Coturnix japonica: one gene and its partner. The protein of the gene in region 1 interacts with the protein of each later gene in a biochemical or structural test. Links are inferred from orthologs where the notes say so. Each region holds a gene or a part of one and is shown on either strand. Other genes may lie near its edges.

Evidence for each region. The genes of interacting proteins can lie anywhere in the genome.
Region 2: the proteins of PDGFRA (region 1) and PDGFB form a complex in vitro, tested with the Homo sapiens proteins (3 studies listed by BioGRID). The link is inferred for Coturnix japonica from reciprocal best matches to the Homo sapiens genes PDGFRA and PDGFB.

The regions. Positions count from the first base shown.
Region 1 is NC_029519.1:59,024,638-59,028,284, reverse strand, and holds part of PDGFRA (platelet-derived growth factor receptor alpha), read left to right. Parts: coding exon 1-70; intron 71-173; coding exon 174-363; intron 364-876; coding exon 877-992; intron 993-1,485; coding exon 1,486-1,612; intron 1,613-2,492; coding exon 2,493-2,686; intron 2,687-3,647. UniProt on the Homo sapiens protein: Tyrosine-protein kinase that acts as a cell-surface receptor for PDGFA, PDGFB and PDGFC and plays an essential role in the regulation of embryonic development, cell proliferation, survival and chemotaxis.
Region 2 is NC_029516.1:46,279,097-46,283,348, reverse strand, and holds the start of PDGFB (platelet-derived growth factor subunit B), read right to left. Parts: upstream 2,905-4,252; 5' UTR 2,618-2,904; intron 1-2,617. UniProt on the Homo sapiens protein: Growth factor that plays an essential role in the regulation of embryonic development, cell proliferation, cell migration, survival and chemotaxis. Potent mitogen for cells of mesenchymal origin.

The sequences.
Region 1 (3,647 bases):
TATGAATGTACTGCTCGACATGCAACCAAGGAGGTTAAGGAAAATAAGAAAGTAGTCATTACAGTTCATGGTATAGTCTCATTTCAGTGTCCAAAAATTATTAATGTGTTGGAAAACACTCTTCTTGAAAAATGCTGCACAGCATTGTTCATGCGTGGCTTTTTCATTTACAGACAAAGGGTTCATTCATCTAGAGCCTCAGTTTAGCCCTTTGGAAGCTGTCAATCTACATGAAGTCAAAAATTTTGTCGTCGATGTGCAGGCGTACCCCGCTCCAAAAATGTACTGGTTGAAGGATAATGTGACTCTGATTGAAAACCTTACTGAGATTGTTACTAGTTCAAACAGAGTCCAGGAAACACGGTAAAAATACTCTTATGAATCTTACTTTGCCACGATGACTCAAGTGTTTCTCCCCTAGAAACCTGAGAACTTCTGCTTTCTCTTTCCACTGCAGTTCTTCCTCAATAACATTTAAAAATCCTATGTTTTCTGCTCTAAAGGGTGATGCCTTAATAACATTAACATCTCTAAACCATACAAATCTTGGATTCTAGGTACTAACCCTCTTCAGTCCCTCCAAGAAATCTTCTCTCTAATTATCTTTAGCTATTTCTAGAAACATCGCAGTCTTCGTTGGAGCCAAGCAGGATATAATAATGCCCACTTCTTTCTTGGTTGTGTTTTGGTGACTATTTACTGTTTGAACAATGATTTTAGTGCGAAGGCATGCCAGAAATGCTGAGTGTCAGCACATTATAATATCCGTGTGTCCAGATTATATGTTGCATTGAAGTAGATTTTTTATGCCTGCTTTCAACATACAAACAAAATGTAAAAATACAAAAATATAAACCAAAACTCTCATTTCTGCAGGTTTCAAAGTGTACTAAAATTGATCCGGGCCAAGGAAGAAGACAGTGGGTACTATACTTTGGTTGCTGAAAATGAAGATGAGGTTAAGAGATACACCTTCTCCTTGCTAATACAAGGTAATGGCTTCAAAAGCCTTCCTTACCAGAACTGATGGGCCACAGCATGAATTTGATCCACTTATGTATGGGTCAACAATGAATACTGGATTGCCTGGGCTATAGAGATAAGAGAAGTGTGAACTGGGGTGTCTGGAGCAGTGCATGTCTGCTGAGTCCTCGTAGCTCTCATACTGTAATCCTGGCTTTGACTTCTGCACTGGCCTTGTGCCAGAAAGAAACTTTATCCTCCTGTCTAAGTTATTCCAGCTGACAGCGGGAACGATAACTCATTTAGCATGACATGAGGACGTGGCATACACGCAGCACTTTCTTTTCATCGCTCTAGCTTGTGATACCCTGTGTTCTTCAGCAGACAGGGACCTCCTGGCCAAGTGGCTCTAGATGCCACTAAGCTGTCAGACAAACAGTACCTGCCCTGCTTTGTTTGAGATTTCAGGCTGCTCTTTTAGACCCTGTTGAACGTTTTAACAAATTCTTGACTCCTTTCCAGTTCCAGCCTTGATCTTAGACCTTGTGGATGACCACCAGGGCTCCACTGGCAGGCAGACAGTGAGGTGCTTGGCTGAAGGGACCCCGCTTCCTGATGTGGAATGGTTGGTTTGCAAGGACATTAAAAAGTAAGAAGAAGAGGAACTTTGTTATCTAAAACATGACTCCGTTGTTCTTGGCTAGCTTAACATTATTAGTTATCATACCGTGTTTTCTTCATCAAGAGCCAGTAAGCCATAATTCTGATGTCTTTTTGGAGACACACTGCTTATATTTTGAGAGGTTTTCAGTACCCTTCCTAGTGTTAATGTCCTATAGAAGAATACACAATGCATCCATTTAACTTTGATAAAAGTTCTGTGTTCAATAATTGAATGTAGTAGATCTTAAAGTTAACTGTCTTTCCATTCTGAGGACTCCTGCTACTTCACAGGTAGCCCTGTTGCCTCATTAATACTCTTGTGTGCTTCTAAATTTTCACTTGGACAGTTTCTCCCCAGATTATAATTTTCACCTTCTAAGACTTCTAGACACATGTAGTAATCATTCCTGGTTTTGCTAGTTCTAGACTGTTTTCTTCTGTAGCTGCTGGGAACTGCTGAGCTCTCCCTGGGAATCTGTAAGGATTCAAGGAAAAGGAGACTAAAGGAATCTGTAAGGATCCAAGGAAAAGGAGACTAAACATGAAGGGAGGCTAGGAGCCCTGGGACCTCCCAGCTGTGCTCCACTCCCACTGCACTAAAATCTCCTCCTGCCACCTGGGACAGTTGTCCTCTTAGCCCTGCCCCAGGAAGCCTTGTATGGCATGAAGGATTCAGGCAGAAGTAGAGATCCACTGCTATAACTCTACAGGATATGAATGATGCAGGCTTTTCACAGAGGTGGTCTTAAGCATTTCTTTAAAAATATAATTGACAGAAGAAAGGCATAGGAAAAGATGATTCCCACTGTGGTGACTTTTTATCTACACCTACATCCAACATGTATTTCCACTGTCACTCTCTGCAGATGCAGCAATGACACTTCCTGGACTCTTCTGACTAGCAACGTCTCTGATATACACATGGAAGCCCACTTGGATGAGAAGAATATGGTGGAAAGCCAGGTGACCTTCCAGAAGGTAGAGGAAACCCTGGCTGTCAGATGTGTAGCAAGAAACGACCTTGGCGCTGTTACTCGGGAACTGAAACTTGTGGCTCCCAGTGAGTTTGCTTTGTCCTTCTATGAGATTACAGAAGCCATCTTAACCTCTCGTTAACATACCTCATTTTAGTCTATAAGAAAGCTTAGTAGATAAAAACATAATCTGCAGCAAATAAGAATAAATGAAAATGGATTTTATCCACCAAGGAACAACTGAGAATGAAGCATTTTACAGGTCTTTATGGGGTATCTGATTTGTTTTATCATTTCATTATGATTGGTCATGGGATGTTCTTCTAAACAAAGTAGACAGTGTAGCTCTGGTCTCAGAGAGGCTTTACAGTTACCAACTGTCACGAGTTACTTAGATTTACCTATGCCCGTGACAGGGGAAGCCACCCTGTGCCCCCCCCCCCTCCCCCCCCGGCGCCCAGAAAGGAGGGGGAAAAGGGGAATGGGATAAAAAACAGTTGGCAATCTAAGGAGGAAAAACTATTTTACTAAGTATGATATCGAAATACAACATAACACATATAATATAATTGCAGGCTAACGAATCGAACGAAACAGAGAGAGAGAGAGTCCCGAAAAACTGAGAGGCCTACTAATGAACTCTAGGCGTACACGCTCTGGAACGCTTCCCACTTCTCCGAGAAGTTCGAGAGAAGAAGGGCACTCCAGCCTCGGGAACAAGATTATATAGCGTCCTGGTTCCGTGACTTATCATTACCCCTGTTGTTCTCTGGGATTATGTTAGGACTTCTTCTGTGCCGGACTGCACATTCAATAGAGTATGCCATGCTTACATGATGTTATGATGTGGAATACTGATAGCAAATACAAAACCATGGGACATTCCACCCCTTTCTAACATTAGTACGATCATGGGTAGATATATATACAATATATGCCACGTATGTAAAACTATGATAGCCTAAATAGTAGAAATTGCATGTACATAACAAATGTACAACTATAATAACTAAATACACGTAACACTGCAACATATAATCTAATATA
Region 2 (4,252 bases), on another chromosome or scaffold:
GGGGGGCTACGTGCTTATATTTTTTATAATATCCGGCTACGTTACATGTGAGCTGGGATAGAAATAGAGTTATTTATTTTCACGTGGATGATGCAGGGCGGTTTTTAGAAGCTCGACATCAGAAACAAAAAGCTAATCCCCGCCGAATCTCCAGACAGCAAGGAAGAGGATGTTTGGAATTTGACTAATCATCTACCTATGACCCTGCCTGGAAATAGAGCAAGACGATATGCGATATGCTCGGGCTTCAGCCGTGTTGCCTTGCTCTTTCTGCTTTTAAGACAGGAACAGATTTTTCTTCAGTGAGGTACTGAGATTCAGTCTGTGCCAGTCTCACTCCACCAAGTTCATTGGGGTTGAGATCAGCAGGGCTGCATGCACTCAACACTACTGTGCCCTGAGATTAGTGTTCCCTTTATTCTCTTGCTTTTGTGAAATCAGCTCATGATCTACTCTATGAACCCCTAAGTTTAATATGGACCACTATTGTCCCCTCTCATGGCCTGTTGGGTGGAGGCTTGCAAGTCCACTGATGGAGCTCTCAGGTTGGATATTAGGAAGAATTTCTTCCCAGGAAGAGCGGTGCTGCAGTGGCACAGGCTGCCCAGGGAGGTGGTGCAGTCACCTTCCCTGGAGGTGTTCCAGAACCGTGTGGATGTGGCACTGAGGGACGTCGTCAGTGGGCATGGTGGGGGTGAGCTAACGGTTGGACCAGATGGTCCTTATGGTCTTTTCCAACCCTAATAATTCTGTGATTCTATGATCAGTGCCACAGATCTCACAGCACATGGGCTTGGAGCCCAGTGCCATTGCATTGCAGTGGAAGATGCTTCAAGGCTACATAGAGTGGACAGATTGGAGCACTGCAACTTGACAAGCTCCTGTTGCAACCATGGTGGCTGGCAGTGGCCCCCAGACAAAGTGCAACACAAACAGATTTCCTTCAGAACCTGTAGTGGGATTTCTTATTCAAACTCTTTCACCAGCACAGCAGCTCCCCAGCTGCAAACAGCTGTGCTCTTCACTTATTATCTAATCACAAGGGAGGAGGTCAGTACATGCCCTAGGGCGACACATGGCTTCTTGATGTGAGGCCACCATCCCTTCTTCTTACACTGGTGGAAAAAATGATCTACTTGCCACCATCCACAGAGGCACAATGTTAGGGTGATATCTTCTTTATCTTCCCTTCCCCCACCCCCACTTTTTTTTGAGTATTGTGAAACAGCAGAAAGCAAAACAGGGTTCACAATGGAAAGCAAGACTCAATCCAAACAGCTGAGGTGTCTCAGCCTCTCGGTGATGAATCCTTTGCAAAACATCAATGGAAAGAAATTAGGAGGTGTTGACAGCCCGCGTGTAGTCAGCCCGCCCACTCAAGGCACCTAGTTTGGGTGTTGCACTGCTCCTGGAGCAGAGTGAGCCATCCCCAACCTTCTCCCCGTGGCTGCTGTCAATGGAGGGGAGCAGCTTTGCACTGGGAGGTTCTTGGGGTGCATCTGTTTTACGCCACGGGGAATGGTGTCATTGGGTTTATCCCAAACAGAGCCATCAGGATGAAGCTGCCACAGCTTCCTGATGGCTGGGTTTAGTCTATGGGAGGAAGACAGGAGGAAAGGGGAAGAGGAGCAAAGGAAGGAGACAGAGACAGGCAGGCAGCTTGTTGTTTATATCTGGTGCCTGAGAAAAGCAGAGCCTCAGGGCATGCAAGGCTTGCACAATTTGCCTCCTTGCCCTTGGCGCTGACAGGGAAAGTGCTTTCCAAGGATGAGTAAAGCACTTGACCCCAGAGCAAGGAGTTTGGTAGGACCTGCCAGGCTTCCTCTAGGAGCTCCATGGCAGAGGAATTCCTCCTGCCCCTCACCTTGTCTGTTTGCTCACCCCTTCCCAAAGGAGACCTGGCAAATGTGAGCACAACACATCCCTGGGACAGTGCACTGACCCTGACAGCAGGAGATGGGAGAGGGCTTGTGCCAGTCCTTGAGGTGAAGGAGAAGCAAAGCACCACCACTCACTGCCAGCCTGATTCATCTGTTTGTTCATTGCAGGGGAGTGGGACTGGATGACCTGTGAGGGTCTCTCCCGACTCCAGTGATTCTACAATTCTAGGAGCATGCAGGTCGAGCAGGATTCAGGGATGGAGGGCAAAGCTGGGGACACTGATTTCCCATTGCTTTCCTGCAGGCATACAGCAGAGAGGAGGGAGTGCAGTCTTCTCTGCTCACACCATCAGATATTTCTCTTCCCCCCCCACCCCCAAGTTTGGGGTAGAAGGGAACAATTTCCTTACTCTGGCAACCATCCATTATGTCTATGGATCTGCTCCCCACCCCATTCCCCCTCTCTTTCCTGTTTTGATGAAAGGAAAAAATGTTCTGCTTTCCTTCTTTATTTTTCCAGACTGGTGAATAGCACTCGAAAGGAATTTCTCTCCCTCCCCCTTTTCCCCTCTCCTGGTATAACAAATATATATATGTGTGTGTGAATGCGCCACACACCACGGGTCAGCTGTTTTTTTTGACGAGGCATTGGCTATTTTCATTCCCAGGGTGAGGAGCTGGGCATCCTTCCCCCTTCCACCCCCGGCCCCATCCCTGCCCACAGCCCCTCCACTCACCTCATCCCCATCCTCTGCCCCTGGGTGCACAGTGAGTGGCGGTGGCGGTGGTGAGAAGGAAGCTCGCAGAGCTGGAGTAAAAATAGCCCCAGAAGTTACTCAGCTCAGAACATAACATGACTCATGATGTGAAATGAAGATATGAGGGTCGAAAACCAAAAGCAAGCAGCTCTGCCTCCCCCTCCACCTGCTATATGTGTGTGTGCTGAAGCAAGACGTGCTACAAGCCCTGCATGTGTGGTCAGGGCAGAGAATGGGCAGGGGAGGGGAAGCCCCACGAGATCCTCCTGCCCACCCAGTTTGGGTGTGCCCACCCCAGTCTGGGTGGCTCTGGTGATGCTGCATCCCACTCCCATCAACCTGCCATCAACCACAGGCTCTGCACAGCCATCATCCCAGGCTATGTGCACCCTGCAGCTTCATTGCAATAGTGCACACGCAGCTGGGCACCCCGAATTGCCCTATGGCAATGGGCAGAGGAGCAGGTCGGTGGCCCACCACATACCCTGTCGCCATGCTGTGCGCACAATAGAGCAGCACCTTGCTATGGGGGTGGGCAGGCCGTGGCTATCTGCTGGTGTGTGTAATAAAGGAGGGAGTTTAAAAATAGACTTTGAGCTGCAGTGCCGGAAAGGCAGAGAGACGTATAGAGCGGGTGTGTATTTACCCTGTATTTACACACTCTGCGCCCGCTGCCCCGCTGGCATGGGGACCGCTCACCACAGGGATCCACAGCCCGCATTCCCCAGAATGGATGGGGTACAGGGGGTAGGTACCCTGCGGGTAGTGGGACTGCACAGGTGCCCAAGCATAACACTGGAGCAGTGGGATGGGTGCCCCCGTCTGCCCCAATCTGTGGCTCCTCCGCCCCCCTGTGCCCAGACAAAGTGGCATCTCTCAGGACAAAGCCTTTCAATAGATCCCCTGCCCTCTGCCCTCTGCCGAACAATGAGAAATCAAGGAATATTGTCCGAGCTGAATAAAAAGATCTAAATTTAGAGTGTCTGATGTGTTCTTGGTTTCCTGCCATGGCTCCCCTCCTCCTTCCCAGCCTCCTGCTCTGCTGCTGCCTGCCCTCAGCAAAGAAAGGTTTCTGCTGGGCTGAGATCACCAGTGAGACCCTGTGTCCCCAGCCATGAGGTAGAGGGGAATTCCAAGTCCGACTATTTCTGCAAGGAGGGAGGGGGAAGCAGGGCATTTTTTGTCTCATCAGCTTAGATACGCATGGAGAGGAGGGAAACTTAAGGTCAGGAGAAAGGGAACGTTCCCACCTCATCCTGTGGGAATGTGTCATGGTGTCCCTATGCTTCATCCTCCAACTGCAGCCATCGTTGGCCCTAGGATTTCTCCTTGAAGAGCCCTCATGCCAAGGCTTACAGAATCATAGAATCATGGAATCATTAAGTCTGGAAAAGGTCTTTAAGATCACCCAGTACAATGGCCACCAGCCCATCCCCACCATGCCCACTGCCCACGTCCCTCAGTGCCACATCCACATGGTTCTGGAACACCTCCAGGGACGGTGACTGCACCACCTCCCTGGGCAGCCTGTGCCACTGCAGCACCGCTCCTTCTGAGAATAGAATTCTCTGAATTAGAATCCTTCCTCATATCCAACATGAACCTCCCCTGTAG